Linked DNA regions of Tamandua tetradactyla. The protein of the gene in region 1 purifies or fractionates together with the protein of each later gene. This does not show direct contact. Links are inferred from orthologs where the notes say so. Each region holds a gene or a part of one and is shown in the gene's direction. Other genes may lie near its edges.

Region 1 (7,779 bases):
CCCTCATGGGGACCACAAGCCCCATGGGACCCTACACATGCACAGGCACGCCGCAGATGTGCACACACATCTACTGCAGATACGTGCACTTACAAACTATGCAAACACAGACATACACACACGTGCACCTACAAACTATGCACACACACATACACACACGTGAACCTACAAAATGTGCCTGTGCACACACCCCCACACACGTGCACCTACAAACTATGCTCACACATCCACACACGTGTACCTGCAAGCTATCCACACACACATACACACACACACGTGCACTACAAACCATGCACGTGCACACATCCACATACGTGCCCCTACAAACTATGCACACGCATACATACAAGTGCTCTTATAAACTATGCACAAACATGCATACACACACGTGCACCTACAAACTATGTACGTGCACACACACACGTACACTTACAAATTATGCACACGTACACACATGTACTTACAAACTATGCACATGCACACACACGCACACCAAATGCTATGCACACACACATACATACACACACGTGGACCTACAAACTGTGCACATGCACAGGTGTGCCTACAAACTACAAGCTCTGGTCCCGGCCCCCGCTTCTAAGGACCACTGTGATGCCCTCAGACTTGCCCTAGGTCCAGTATCACCTCCATCTCGGACCCTTCACTTAACCTCACCCGCAGCTCCCTCCTGTTCCCACATTCACCAGTCCCAGGAACTAGGATGCAGTCATCCGTGGGGGCCGTGGGTGGGCTGCAGACAGCCAGGGAGGTGGAAGACCCTGACTGCACCCAGCGTCTGCTGTCCTCCCAGGCCTGGGAAGCCTGGGGAGGCTGCCCTGGCTAGTGGCTGCCCCATTTCCCTCCTACACCTGTGCTTCATCATTTGCACATTTAACCCAAGAGTGAGGACTTGGTGTTCTAGTTCAAAGAAGCTGCCAGAATGTGATAGACCAGAAATGAACCGGCTTTTAAAAAAGGGAATTTATTAAATAGCAAGTTTACAGTTCTAAGGTTGTAAAAATGTCCAAATTAAAGTCAGCCTATGCAGATGTACAAATTAAGGCATCAGGGGAAGACACCTGGGTCAGGAAGGCTGATGATGTTCAGGGTTTCTCTCTCAGCTGGAAAGGTCCATGGCGAGATCTGCTGGCTTTCCCTTCAGTGGCTTCCCGGGGCTCTGCCTGTTCTGTGGGCTCTGTTGGTTCTGGTGCCTCTAAAGCTTTTTCCAAAATGATTCCCTCTTAAAGGGCTCCAGGAAGCAACCCCACCTTGAATGGGTAGAGACACTTCTCCATGGAAACCACCTCATCAAAAGTTACCACCCACAGTTGGGTGGGTCACATCTCTATGGATAATTAAAAAGCTCCGACCCAGCAATATTCAATGTAGATTAAAGAATGCGGCTCTTCTGGGGCACACCACAGCTTCCACCAGCACGCTTCGGTGGTCCGTTCTTTGGTTCTGACCTGAGGGCTGCCCTTGGGGAAAGGAAGTCCCTGCCCGATAGGAGAAAATCCAGGGGGACAACGGGGGCACAGCGCTCCCACCTGGCAACCCTCTGTTCCCGGCTCCACATGGAGATACCTCCCACCCTGGCTGCCTTTGAATGGACTTCTGGAAGGCAATGCTATTAGGTATCCGGTTTTCCCCAAGAGGAAGAGAACGCCAAAACCCGGTTAGGGCGGGCTGGGGAACTGGCAGGAGGAAGGCTGGTCCTTGCGAGGTCCTTGAAGCTGCTCTGAGGGCAGAGGGAAAGGGGAGGGGCATGCAGGACAGAGCAGGGCTGCGGGCCGCCATGGGCCCCACAAAATCGAATTGGGATGGGGGGTACAAAGCAACCGCAGGACGTCTCCAAGTCCACTGAGAGCGCTCTCCCCACCCAGGCCCCAGGCATTAGGATGAGCAGCCTGCCTGGACCACCTGCCCTTTCCATAAATATACAAGTGCAGGTTCTCCCCTAGAGGCTGGGTCCTACCTTACTTCACGTTTTACAACCTCCGGTCTCGAGGTTGAGGGGCCTGGCCTTGAGGGCAGACCTGGGCTGTGGTTCTGAGCAGTCATGCAGCCTTGGGCAAATCGCTTCCTTATCTGCTTGTGGGATCTCCTGAGCACTGGGTGAAAGCAGGCAAAGTGCTCTGTGGGTGCTCGTGGGACCCCTGGGAGCAGAGGCAGTGGGGAGCACAGGTGGGCTCTCCCCCATACCTGCCCCCACGGGCCCCCAGACGTGGCTCCATGGCCCTGCCACGCAAATACTAGGCAGGTGACACTCAGTCAGTGACTGAACTAAAAGCCCAGTCCCCAGGATGGCGAAGGCCAGCAAGATGAGCAACCCAAGCACACCTGTTTCTGCATAAGCACTCGCATTCGCTTTCTACTCCTGCCGTGACAAAGGACCCCAGGCCTCCGGGTTGGAAAGAGCACCCGTTTGTCACCTCATGGTTCTGTAGGTCAGAGGCCGGGGACCCCATGGCAGCCAGTTCCCCACTGAGCAGCTCATGGGACGAAATCAAGAGGTCCCCTGAGCTGGAGTCCTTTCTGGAGCCCTGGGATGAAGCCTGCTTCCAAACCCTTGCAAGCAGTTGGCAGGACCTGGTCTCGCTGCTGGCCGTGGCCTGAGGTCTCCGTGCCAGCTGCCTTGGCCCCCCGAGGTGGCTTGCCTCCCCCACCCCAGGCCTTCCCAGAAGCGGGCTCAGCAAGGGGGCTCGGACTCCCCTGCAGTTCCCATCGCTGTCTCGCCAACCCTGCTGGAGGAAGGGCTCTTCTCCTAAGTGCTCTTTTGATCACACTGGGCCCACCTGGGTCAGCCAGGGAAACCCCCCCCCATATTGAGGGCTGTGGAGTTACAGCAGCAAAGTCCCCCTTGCCACATGAGGTGGATAATCCACAGACTCCTGGGGACCAGGGCACCCGCGTTTGGGGGCCATGACTCTGCGGACCCGATGCTCTCGGAGTCCCACACAGCTCAGCAGGTAACGAACTCTGGAGAATGGGGGAGGGGAGCAGGCCCCCACCACCGGAGCAGGATGGAAAGGCACCCAGGGCCTGAGCAGGTGACCTGCAGCCTCGGCCTGGACACCCAGCAAGGCAAAGAGAACCACTGTAGTGGTTCTTGAAAAGGAATACACACCCTGATAAAAATTGCCTTTTTCTTCTACGCACACCCTTTTTTTTCAGTACTTTGCTATGTAACACGGTCTGACTTCTACATTTTTCTTTCTCCATTACCCGCTGTGTTCCTCACTGACCCCCGGCTAGCGCACCACCTCCCGCGTACCCGCCGGAACTGCTCGGAACACCTCCGCGGGGATCCCCACATTCGGCCTCCAGAAGGGTGAGGCAGCCACTGCGACTCCATGGCGACCCCGAGGGCAGTTACGGCTTCGCTTGCCGAAAATCTCCTAAGTGGCGGTGACCTGTCCCTGGGCCTCTGAAAGCAAGCCCGCTAGGAAAAAAGATGAGCCCAGCGGAGGTCCAACGCCGAAAAAAAATTTTTTTTTCACATGGGCAGGCACGAGGACCGAACCCGGGTCTCCGGCATGGGAGGCGAGAACTCTGCAACTTAAGCCACCGTGGCCACCCAACGCCGAAAGTTTTCCTGCTGCTGGTAGGCGAGGGCTCCCCGCGCCTGGGAGTCCCCCAGAGTCGGACAGCAGCGAGCCCGCGCTCCCAGGCTCCCAGGACCGGGACGGTCCCTGCTCCGCGTGCTCAGACAGCAGGACGCGCAGAGCCGGCCGGCGGGGTAGGGCCCGGGGAGGGAGTCAGCTTAAAGGGGGTCAGCTCGCAGTGGGGCGAGTCCAAGAGGGGGGTCAGCCGGCCGAGAGCCGCTGACCTGCGCGGCACTTGGCAGCCCTGACCTACGCCGCCGCGGGGTTCGCGGAAGGACCGCGTTCCCATTGGCCGAGGCCCGGAAGGGGCGGAGCCCAGGTAGAGGCGAGACATGTGGGGCGGTGCTCGCGGAAGTACTGCGTTTCCATTGGCCGAGACCCAGAAGGGGCGGGGCCCGGGTAGAGGCGAGGCATCTCGGGCGGGGCTCGCGGAAGGACCACGCCTCCATTGGCCGAGGCCCGGCAGGGGCGGGGCCGTGCGTGAAGCACTGCCGGGCGGGCGCGCCCTCTGGAGAAGCCCGGGGGCTAGAGTCGCGGCCACCACCCGGGCCCACCCGCCAAGTCCCTGGGGATAGAGCTTCGCGCTCTCTAACATCCCTCTGAGAGAGCCAGGAGGCCGGCGGCGGCCCTACTGATGGTCTTCCAGGGAGCACCTGTCACTGAGTCCCAAGCACTAGGTCACCCCAGACGCCAAGAAACCCGACGGGCAAGAACCCGGCCCACGGCACTGAGGAGTCCCTTTTTCCGGCCCTGGGCGGAGCCGTGGCCCTAGGCTAGGGGGCGGGGCACGGCTTGCGGCCCGCGGTGGATTGTGCGCAGGCGCCGTCGGAGCGCGAAGCGCCCCCGACAGCCCCCGCGGCCGTGCCGGCCCCGCCCCCGCGCCGGGGGCGCCCTCCCCGGACAGCTCCGCCCCCCGCCCGCGGCGCGCTCGGAGGAGGGATGACGTCATCGAGCGGGGCGACGGGCATTGGGCGCCATTTTGAAAAGGGAAAAAAAAAAATCACTTCCCGGCGGCGGCGGAGGCGGCGGCGGCGGCGGCGGCTGGGCGGCCGGGGCTGAGATTCCAGGGCGGCAGCAGCGCGGCGGCCGCCTCCTCCCGTCAGCCGCAGTCGGCGCGGCCGACGCGCCGCCCCCGCCGCCGCCTCAGCGCGCCCGCCGCCCGCCGGCTATGGCAGGTGAGAGGCCCGCGCCGCGGCCGGGGGCGAGTCCGGGGCGGGGGCCGCGGCCCGCCTGACGCGCCGGGTTGTGTGTTTGCAGGAGCCGGCGGCGGCTGCTGCCCCGCGGGCGGCAACGACTTCCAGTGGTGCTTCTCGCAGGTCAAGGGAGCCATCGACGAGGACGTGGCCGAAGGTAAGGCGCCCGCGCGTGGGGCGCGCCCCGGGCCCTCCTGCCCTCGGCCGGCCGCCGCGCCTCGTGGCCCGGCAGGCGCTGTCCCGAGCGCGCCCTGGCTCCGGGCGGCACCGCGGCGCGTCTGCTCGGCGACCCTGTGGGCCCGGGCGTCCCGGGACGTCGCTGCGCGCTCGGGCCGGCCGGGGGCTGGGCTGGCCGCGCGTGGGCCCGCGTCCGAGTCGGGTGGGCCCGGCCGGGGCCGCGGAGCTGGCGGCGGCGGCGGGAAGCCTCCGGGGAACGTGGCGCGGCGCGGCTCGCCGACGTGTCGTGCTCGCGGGCGGGAGGGCATGGACGCGGCTGGCCTGAGGGCTTATGTAGGTACCGAGGTCGCCGAGCCGGGCAGGGTGGAGCTGGGCGAGAACCCGCGTCCTCCCAACCCGTTCCCGGTGGTCTGCCGTGTCAGTGCCGGCCTCTGCGTTCGTGGAGCCGAGGACGTAAAGGCAGGAACTGGGGCGTCGAGGAGTCCGTTTGGGGTCTCTGTTCCGGCGGAAAGATGCGGAGCGGCGGTGCCGGGGGAGTGGGTGCCTGGTCGGGGGTCTCGGTTCCAGGCCCAAGCCCTGTGCGAACCCCCGGGCTGTCCTCGCCAGGGTTTCTGCCTCGCTTTCTTCATCTTCAGAAAGGAAGCTTGGCTACCGAGCTCTCAGGTCCTTTCTGAGCTTCTCACGTTCTTGGATTTTGAGTGTCCTTACCGCAGAGCCAGTCTTGAACCTCAGGGCATTGGCTTCCGTGGGCATGTCTTTCCTGAGCTTTGCGTTCCGCGGGCCAAGGCTCAGAGTCTTAGGTGGGGTGTGGGACCTGGGAGTCTCTCGTGCCGCCCTCGCGTTCCCCATAAAGCCCGTGTCCTTGTAGAGTGCGTGTGTATGCACGCAACATGTGTGCTTAAACACAGTTGGATGTAGAAGTGATTCTTAGAGACTCTGTTTCAGGTTTAAAGCCAGGGCACTTTGTGTCGTGTTCGGTCATCTTGCTGAACATTGTGCACTTTCACTCTTCTCTTAAAAGTGATTTACCTTGGCTAGTGCTTTGCCCCAGGTACATCTTCCCTCCCCTAAGAAACTGGTCAGATGTCTTGTCAGCTTTCCTCCACCTTGGCCATTTGAGTAACCTTTCCCCCTGCACCCTGTATCTCTCCCCGGCAGGGTTTAGTTTGACGCATGACCCTGAGGACATCTGGAGATCCTTGGCCCCGGGAGACGTCAGTGCCTGTATTAGTAAGCAGGAAACTCTCCTCAAAGAAATTTGTAAAGATGTATAGGACTTGAAGCTGAAGCTAGGTGATTTTATATAACATAACTAATTTATTGAAGATTCTGTTTCTTTTATATTAATTGGACATAGTTGTTCTTTTTGTTTCATTTTGCATGTGCCAGGTGAGTGAGAGCTGAGCCTCACTGGAATGAAGTAGTGACTTATCTCAGGAGGAAGGAGTATGTGTGTGTGTGAGGAGTCTTCATGCCTGCTCTAAGTTCCCATTTCTTTCTCATTTAGAAGCTTTTTCACCAAGCTGAATGAATTAAAATTAAATGTGACTTTAGCGTTCCGCGGGCCAAGGCTCAGAGTCTTATGTGGGGGTGTGGAACCTGGGAGTCTCTCGTGCCGCCCTCGCGTTCCCCATAAAGCCCATGTCCTTGTAGAGTGTGCGTGTGTATTTTTTTTTGAATGTGACATTTTTGAATGTGACATCTCAAAAATGGCATTATTCTCTTTAAAAATCATTACAAAAATGTTTTGTTCTCTAAATTAAACTGATCGGAAGTTTTTGCAATTTCAAACCCTTATTTTTAATTCTCTAAAAGTTTTATAATTCAGGTTGTTGACTTTTTCTAAATTGCTTGTGGTGATGACCCACTTTTTAAATTAATGTATGTGTTTGAAGCTTTCTGTTTTAATCCATATGTTTAACTTGAGTAACTGATTGCGGTTAACACATTTATCACTACCATTTTGTCAAATGGTTTTGATATTACTAGTTTGAATTGCATTATTACCATAGAAGTTAGTGATGAAGGAAAAAGCAATCATTAGAAAGTTGGGTAATGTGATTTGCAGAATTTGTGTCTCAAACTCAACCTTGAAGTGAAAGAAATTTTCATTAGAGGAAATTAATAGGAAATGAGTGATTCAGGAGAGGCTGCAACTTTCACTGAACAATTGAAGGTGTAGTAAAATTTATTTGTGGTTTGTGAGGTATTTTGCTCTTGAGGTTTTGTTCTGGTTCAAACTACTCCCCAGAGTTCGACCTTAATCTTACACTTTAGACTGTCTTTCTGCGTCTCCCTGTGATGGATAGGTATGAAGAAGAAAGTCCAAGGGACATTGAGGCTTGGGTCCGTTTCTTCTTTTGATAACAACAGCTCTTAGAGAGGATGGGGAATAGGGGTTAAAAGTAAGCACTTTTGACTTTGAAGGTTGTGGAATGAATAAAAAGGAAAGAGGCTTTTGGTTTTGGTTTCCTTTTTGTTTTTAAAACTAGTAATTTCTAGGTTCTTTAATCATAACTCCTGATGAAAGTATTGGACTGTGTAAAATGTATTTTTTGGCTTGTTTTTTTTAAGAATTGGGTTTTTCTGTGGGTCAGGTCAGCCTTAGTGCTAAGAGTCAGTAATGCTGTGTGTGAGATCATTGTTTTCCCATCTCTCTCTCTCTGTAATTAGGAGGAGATCAGGGCTTAAAGAAGGTTAGTAATTGTCCTGCTGGCAGCAAGAATGTTGACTGACAGTGGTGACAGGCCTCTGGTCATCAGTCATCGGACTGCCTGGAAGGTGGGATAAATGGAACATTTATG
Region 2 (8,082 bases), on another chromosome or scaffold:
AGGTTGAATTTGATCATGCACTACAGAAGATTTCAGTTCCAGATCAAATAAACCTTTCTTCCATTTTTCTCAAAGAGTATGTATGGTTCTAAAATGTAGACACTGTCTTACGTACCCCTATGTTCTGAATTACTTTAACCCCAACCTGTTTGGCTCTGTTTTTATCCCTAAATATCAGGTTATATATATAAAACAGCCTCTCAAAATGCAGAAATAATAATCACCACTCTGAACTTAATGTGTCTGCTCTAAAAGCTTACAATCTAGTCCACTGTTTTCTTATAAGCATTTTGTAAAGGTGACCATAACATTGTTGTTTTTTTGTTTCTGGCTTATTTTGTCTCACCAAATGTCCCACATGTTCAATCACATCATTGCATGCCTCACGACATTGTTCCTTTATGTAGCAGCACAACCTTTGTTCATAAGTATTTTGCCAATCTACTTCTCAATCAGCGCATCCATCAACCACCTGCATTCATTGGGCATCATGTAGAGGGCCCAAAGTCTCCAGCCCATCAACATTCTCAATTTTAGATAATTTCACTGTTCCCAAGAGACAGAAAACTAATGAACACACCCTCGCCAAATAGGAAATCTAAACCTCCTCTGAACTCTTGTCCCTCACACCATTATTTACCTCTGCTGATTAACATAGATTTTAAATCTCATTTACACATTTGCCAGCTAAAGTGGAAAAAAGCAATTACAAGCAAAAAGTGCAATAATACAGGCTTATATATTTTCCTATAGTTACCTTTACTGATGTTCTTCATTTCTTCCCACGATGTTTTAGCTTGTTAAAGTTGCTAGAATGCAACATACCAGAAATGGAATGGCTTTTCAAAAGGGAATTTATTAAATTGCAAGTTTTACAGTTCTAACCAATCCGAAGTAAGGCACCCAGAGAAGGATACTTTGATTCAAGAAAGGCTGATGGTTCTGGAACTCATCTGTCAGCTGGGAAGGCAGAAGGTGACATTTGCTAGCTTTATCTTCAGGCTTCTCCTTTCAAAGGACTTCCCTGGAGGCATTCTCCTTCTGCATCTCCAAGGATCTCTCTGTCTGTGTGAGCTCTCAATGTTTCTCAAAAATGGTTCTTGCTTAAAGGGCTCCAGTAAGCAACCCCACCTTGAATGGGTGGAGATACATCTCCATGGAAATCACCTAATCAAAAGGTACCACAACTGGGTACCCACAATTGGGTGGGTCACATCTCCATGGAAACAATAAAAAAGATCATACCCAGCAATACTGAAACAGGATTAAGGAACATGACTTTTCTGGGAGTATACAACAGTTTCAAACCAGCACACATGGCTCTGGCTTTGAGTTATTATCTAGTGTCCTTTTATTTCAGCCCCAAATACTTCCTTTAGCATTTCTTGTAGGGAAGGTCTGCTTTTACCTGTAATTGTCTTAATTTCTCCTTCATTTTTGAAAGATAATTTTGGCAAACAGAATTCTTTGTTGATAGTTTTTTCATTAAGGGCTTTAAATGTGCCATCCAACTGTCTTCTGGATTCCATGGTTTCTGATGAGAAACCTGCTGTTGATCTGATTGGGAATTCCTTGTGGGGAGTTGCTTCTCTCTTGCTTCTTTCCAAATCCTCTCTGTCTTTGGATTTTGAAAAATTTACTACAATTTGTCTGGGTGTCAGTTTCTTACAGTCTGTCTTGCCTTGAGCTCATTGAGCTTCTGATATGTGCACATTCATGTTTTTCATCAGATCTGGAAGGTTTTAGCCATTATAGCCTCAAATACTTTTTCTGCCCCTTTGTCTCTCATGTACTTCTGGGACTCCAATGATGCATATGTTGGTACATTTAATGGTATCCAACAGGACTCTCAGGTACTGTTCATTTTCTTCATTTTTTTTTTCTTTCTGCTTCTAACATTGGAAATTTCAATTGTCTTGTCTTCAAGTTCTCTAATCCTTTCTTCTGCTTGTTCAAATCTGCTGTTGGATTGTCCGAGTTTCTCATTTTGATTATTGTACTTTGCAGCTCTAAAATTTGTTGGTTCATTTTTATAATTTCCATTTCTTTATTTTGTTCAGACGTGTTTCCTAACGTTCTTTAGTTCCTTGCATATGGTTCCTTAAGCTCATTATAGTTAAGACAGTTGATTTAAAGGTTGTGGCTAGCAGTTTCAATATATGGGCTTCATAAGGGGTGGTTTCTGGCAAATTCTCTTTTTCCCGTGAATGGCCATACTGTTTTGGTTCTTCACAAGTTTTTGCACTTTTTTGTTGAGCACTGGGGTTTCTGAGTATTATCTTGTTATGTCTCTGGAAATCTAGTTCTTGTACTCCTCTTGGATTGCTGGGTTTTTGTTTGTTTTTTCTGTGGTTGTTGTTGCTGTTCTTGCTGAGGGCTGGAGCCATCGATCTGTGACTTTTGCAAACTATTTTTGTTCCCAAATGGAAATGGAAAGAGGAAAGAGAAAAAACTTAGTACTGCCTCTTTAAGACTCTTCTGCCACTTCTGCCTGACAGGGGTAGGTAGATGGGTAAATTTGTAAATTGAGAGTATTCCAGAGAATAAAGAGGGAACTGATGATGACTTGTTCTATGAAGCCAACAAAACATTGATACTAAAAGACATAATGGGAAAGAAGAATGTGTAGGCTATTCTTTCAGAAACATAGGCACTAAAATTCCAAACAAAATACATGCAAAACAAATCCAGTGATATATGAAAAAGATAATAAATCACAATCAAGCTGGATTCCAGGAATGCAAGATTAATTTAACATTCCAAAATTAACCAACATAATTCACCATGTTGACAGAATGAAGGAGGAAAAAATAAGAACATTTCAAAAGGTGCAAAAAAAAAAACATTTGATAAAATTCAACACCCATTTATGATAAAATACTTAGCAAAATAAATATCCAAGGGAATTTCCTCAATTGGAGTAACTGTATTTACCAAAACAATCTAATGAAAATATAATGAACAGTGAAATCTTAAAACCTTTCTCCTGAAATTGGGAATGTAACAAAGATTTCTGCTCTCACCAATTCTATCTAGCACTGTACTGGAGGACCTAGCCAGTGCATAAAGGGAAATAAAAAGAAATAAAGTATGAGGATTTGAAAAGAAGAAATAAAATTGTGTAGAAGATAATTCCTAGAAGATACTTTGACTGTACAAAATCCAAAATAATCTCCAAAAAAAAGTTCAAATTAATAATTAAGATCAATGGACCCATGGTCAATAAAGGAAAATTGGTTGTATTTCTATATACAAGTAACCATTATAAAATTTAAAAATTCTAAATCATACCATTAGCAAAGGATCAATATGTCAAACAAGGAGGCCTGTGGGGAGATAGAAGGGTAGGATACTTCAGGAATCAGTCCCTTTACCAAAAGAATGATTGTATAAGAACTGTCGGAATCCAATATTGTGGAGCTCTGGAGTCTGGAGGAACACTGTGCAGCATTCAGTAACAAGCTGGAAAAAGAGGCTGGTAAATTGCGGTATCTGAAGTTGAATTTCACCCTGTGCAGTGGTTACCACCCCCACCCCCTCAACCACATGGCAGGCATCAATGGGGGCTGCAGCCCTGGCTCCTGGGGAGCTTGCTGGTGTAGGGTGAGCTTAGAAGGACCTAGTCCTCCCAAATCCGGGTGTGTGGTCTGCTCATTGATCACTGCTTTTCATCAGCTACTCCAGAATGCTGGGGGGGGGGGGGGGGGCGGGCAACTCTGCCACTTATGCCTGACGGGGGGTAGGTAGATGGGTAGACATTAATTTAAGAATCTAAAACTTCCAATAACTTAGTCACCCATAAGTCTTTTCTTATTTTTTCCCCTTATTTTTCTGTCCATTTTTGGTCCTGTGTCCTGGCATGCATATTACATTTTTATTGGATGCTATACATTTTGGGTGAAAAGGAGGGGAGCATCTTTTCATTTGTTTAAGAGCATCACAGCACTTGTTATTTTCTTTGCTCTGATCCTGTGGGTGAATATCCTTGTCCATTTTTCTACTGCCTTGTTTATCTTGTTCTCATTTGCAGAATGTCTGTGGGTTAAGGAACTTAATTCTTTGCGTGGGATATGGCTAGGAGATGTTTTTTCTGAACCAGAGTTTTCACTTTGACAGTCACACACTTAAAATTTTCATGTCGTCTGATTTATCAGAGTTCTTTTATCTCTCACGGGAGCCTGCAACGTTCTAACTGGAGTTTCTATTCCTTCTTCCCTCCACCATCTCCAAAGCCCATTCTCAACGGGGATTCGGAGTCTTGGCCCCCTCTGCCCTCCCTCTAGTGGTGACCCTCTCACTCCCAGGCCCCACAGACCTCTGCCGCAGCCGGCCCTGGGCAGGTGGTGCACACTCACCTGCCAGCCCCCCACCCCTAGCGCCTTGGTGTGGTGCAGCTGCTTTCCTGGTCTGCGCGGCGCACGGCTCAGAAGTGTTTCGTGATCAGTAGTTTCAGGATTTTGCATCCTAGTTAATACTTTCTCCACTCAGAAACTGTTTTCCAAACAGTCTCCCCTGGATTCTGCTTTCATTTCTTCCCTGTAGAACTGGGAATCCCCTGGGGTTACCCAGGCGTCTGGACTCGCCGGAGTGGCCGGGGTGGAGCGCAGGGCCCAGGCCACCCAGGGCGCCGCTGGACTCCGCGCCCCTCCTCCGGAGCCTCGCCCCCCCCCCTCCCCTCCCCTCCCCTCCCTCCTCTGACTCCTCCCCCCTCCCCATCTCCCTCTTTCCCCCACCCCTTTCTCCTCCCCCCTCCCTCCTGCTCCCGGTCAATTTCTACTCCCCCCTCTCTCCCTCGTCCAGCCCCGGCCCGCGCGATCCGGCGGCCTCAGCGGGTCACCAGGCACCGGCCTGCGCCCAGGCCCGCCCCGCAGGCCGCGAGCTCCGCCAGGAACCCGCGCCGGGCCAACGGCCGCGGCGGCCCGCGCGGGAAGCCGCGAGCGAGGCCCCGCCCCCTCGTTCGAACTCGCGGCCCCGCCCCCGAGCCCGGCCAATCGGCGCGCGCGGCGCGGCGGCGCCATGGTGACACTTTGTAGGCGCCGAATGGCCGCCCGGCCCCGCCCCGCGCCCGCCCGGAGGGCCCTCCTTAGGCACCAGCGCGCTGCGGCCCAGGCGGCAGGCGGACCTCGGCGCGCAGGTGAGCGTCCCCGCGGCGGGGCTGAGGGTCGGGGCGGACGCCGGGGTCCGGTGGCGCGCTCGAGGTAGGTCCGCGGCGCGCCTTTGTGTCGCGTCCGGAGGACGCTGCGATGCCCTGAAACCCCCGAGGCCCCGACACCCCCAGTCTCCGATACTCCCGAGGCCCCAACTCCGCCCAAGGCCCCGTCGTCCCGACAGCCGCGCCCCTGGCGTCCGGAGGACCCGGGCCTTTCACCTTGGCGGGGACCCGGGAGGTCCCTGCGGCCGGGGTGGTCTCTCCCCGGGCACGGGGCTCTCAGGGACTCGCGGCATTGCCTGGAGCTGTGGGCGGTGTGGGACGGGGGGCGGGGTGGGGCTCCCCGGAAGGGCCCTGAGCGAGCTCGACCACCCGGCGCGGGCGGGAAAGCCAGCACCTCCCCCCACCGGGCATGAGTCATCAGTCTTCTGGGAATCCCCTCTGGGTTCCTATGTCTTCATTTTCCCCAGCCTTTATCATTTTAAATAAAAAGATATTACCTGCCCATGGCTTCAGTCAAATTGTTGACTTTAAACAAAGACAAAAGTTAAGTGCACTTCCTTGGCCGGGTGTGAAGAGATTGCCTCCTCAAAGGCCCCCAACTGTCCTCTTCACCTGTATCCTCAGTTGCTCTGGGCGACAGTTCCTGCCCTGCTCGGCACCGGGGTCCCCTGCCTTCTGGCTTCAGCCTTGAATTTATAGCCATGACCCGAAAGTTGCGCAGCTGCCTTAGGGTCTCACCATCTGTCTGTCTTTACCTGTTCTGCCATCTGTCCATTTAGCCTGCTGTGCATTGTTCATCCATCCTCACATACATTCCCCATCTGTCCTTCCCTCCCTTTCTCCTCTACCTCCCTCCCTCTCTCCCACCCATCCACCCACCCATTCATCCTGGCCAGATGTTGCCCTTTGTATTTCATCCCTAAAGGCCTCCCCCGAGGTGGAGTGAGGTGTGGGTGTGGGTTCTTAGCAGTAGAGAGCTTGAATTTTATCTTTGGTCCTGTTAGCAAAAGTGGGTTTTGCCTCTTGATGTAGGCACCTTCCAAAATGGCCTGCCAGGGTCCCCCTTCTCTGGAACACTAGGGGACAGGGTGGGCTGGCTTGGTGAGTTTCCCTTGTTTTTTCCAGATTGGATTGCTTTAAGAGGCCCGTTTCGGGTGTGTTGCAGTGGGGCCTTCTCTAATCTTGTCGGGCTGTCAGGGAGCCCATGGTGCGGGCATTAGGTGGCTGCAGGCTTGTGCCTGCCTGCCTCCCCGCAGGCTAGTCCAAGCTGCACGGGCACGTGGAGACAAAGTGCGGGCGCGAGAGGGTGTGGAAAGAGCAGGGCCCCAGAGCCTCATCCTAGCTACTCTACATTTTCAGGTTTTATCACACTTCATTCAAATCCAGACCAGATCAGTTGCCGCCTTCCTTTTTGGGAGGGTGGCACGGTTTGTCTCAGGCAAAAGGAAGTTCGAGTGTTTCATTCCAAGTGACAAAAGCCCTTGAAACTAATTTTCTAGTAATTGCTTGTGAAAAATTTCAGGCAGACAATAGGAAAGTGAACCCACATATACATGTACCTGTCACTCAGATTCAGCATTTTGCAAGGCTTGTCTTCTTGTTCTCTCTTTGGTGAAGTATTTCAAAGCAGCTCTAATCCACTCGTAGAAATGAATTTGTGTTGATTTACCTCCTGTGGGTCCAGCGCCAGGGGCTGGGGTCAGCACCACTTCTCCCCGGGCCAGGCAGGACACTTGGTCTTCAGCCCCTCTTGCTGTCCTGCTCTCCGAGGCTTTGGCCCCAGGCCGCTGTCCCCTGTTTTGCTCAGCCTGCCCAATGCTTGGGCTTGTGGAAGGGGCAGAGCTGCTTTTCACCCAGGAGTGAGCCTGGTGACCTCCTGGGTTTAGGTGGAAGACTGGCACCCCAAGGAATTGGCAGCTTTGGGCATTCAGCTGATTCTGTGGTGACAGAATGGGAGTGGGTCACAGCTGGTATATGCTGTTGGGAGCTGCCCAGTGAGCCAGACCCTGCCGTGAGGCCACCTCCAAGGACGAGGCCCTCTGTCCTTTATGTGATCCAGAGGGACTGAAGCGGGCTCAACGACAGTCCCCATGCTGACCTTGTCCCACACATTAGTACTGCCTGGCTCCTTCCCCGGTCCAGCCTGCGAGGAAGGAGGAAGGACTGTGAGGGCCTCAGTCCAGCAGCCAGGGCAGCCCTTGGAGGTGACAGGCTGGTGGCAGCTGCCCTGAAGGCCTCTTTGGAATGATCCATCTGTCAGCACCTTTTACATTGGATATAACAGAAAGCTGATGATTACTGAAGATTTGGGACATTGGAAAGGTGAAGCTTCAGAGTGGTTTTTAAAGTATACGTGTGTCAAGGCTCAGGGGGAAGCAGGAGTGGCGACGTGGAGAGTGGTTTTAGGTTTTCAGTCAGTGCTCCTGCCCCCACCATCAGCTGGCCTTAAGCCTTCAGCTTGTAGAGAGGGGCTGCTGCAGACATGTCAGAAGGGGACGGAGTCTTAACTGTGAAGGGGGGCAATTTGTAAAGGCTGGTAAAGTGGGAGTGAGCAAGTGTGAAAAAATGAAGAAAACTGGTGGAAGAGTGAATTGTGTCGTTCCCCCCCCCCCCCACTTCCTAGAAACCGGTTTGACAGGTTGGTGAGGGGCCTTAAATGTGTTCTCCCCCTTTGCCTCGTCCTCAGTCCAAGATGGAGGCTCAGGAATCGGGTGCTGACAGTGTCCAAACCCAAAGCCACGAGACAGTGCCATTGGTACCGGGGGAGCTGTAGTGGTGCCGAGGCTGTGGCGAGTGGTGACATGCGGTTCTCTAGTACCTCCATAGGTTGGAGTGAACGTGCAGCTACTGGAAAGAATCAGGAACTTTTTTTTTTTTTTTACATGAGCAGGTACCGGGAATTGAACCCGGGTCCTCTGGCATCGCAGGCA

Evidence for each region.
Region 2: the proteins of PPP2R2D (region 1) and CDCA4 purify together in Homo sapiens (affinity purification with mass spectrometry; 3 studies listed by BioGRID and IntAct, counting the BioPlex papers as one, with this or other methods). This does not show direct contact. The link is inferred for Tamandua tetradactyla from reciprocal best matches to the Homo sapiens genes PPP2R2D and CDCA4.

What each region holds. Positions count from the first base shown.
Region 1 is NC_135339.1:94,499,144-94,506,922, forward strand, and holds the start of PPP2R2D (serine/threonine-protein phosphatase 2A 55 kDa regulatory subunit B delta isoform), read left to right. Parts: upstream 1-4,746; 5' UTR 4,747-4,773; coding exon 4,774-4,780; intron 4,781-4,862; coding exon 4,863-4,955; intron 4,956-7,779. UniProt on the Homo sapiens protein: Substrate-recognition subunit of protein phosphatase 2A (PP2A) that plays a key role in cell cycle by controlling mitosis entry and exit. Involved in chromosome clustering during late mitosis by mediating dephosphorylation of MKI67.
Region 2 is NC_135340.1:87,618,502-87,626,583, forward strand, and holds the start of CDCA4 (cell division cycle-associated protein 4), read left to right. Parts: upstream 1-5,062; 5' UTR 5,063-5,134; exon of another isoform or gene 5,135-5,198; intron 5,199-8,082. UniProt on the Homo sapiens protein: May participate in the regulation of cell proliferation through the E2F/RB pathway. May be involved in molecular regulation of hematopoietic stem cells and progenitor cell lineage commitment and differentiation.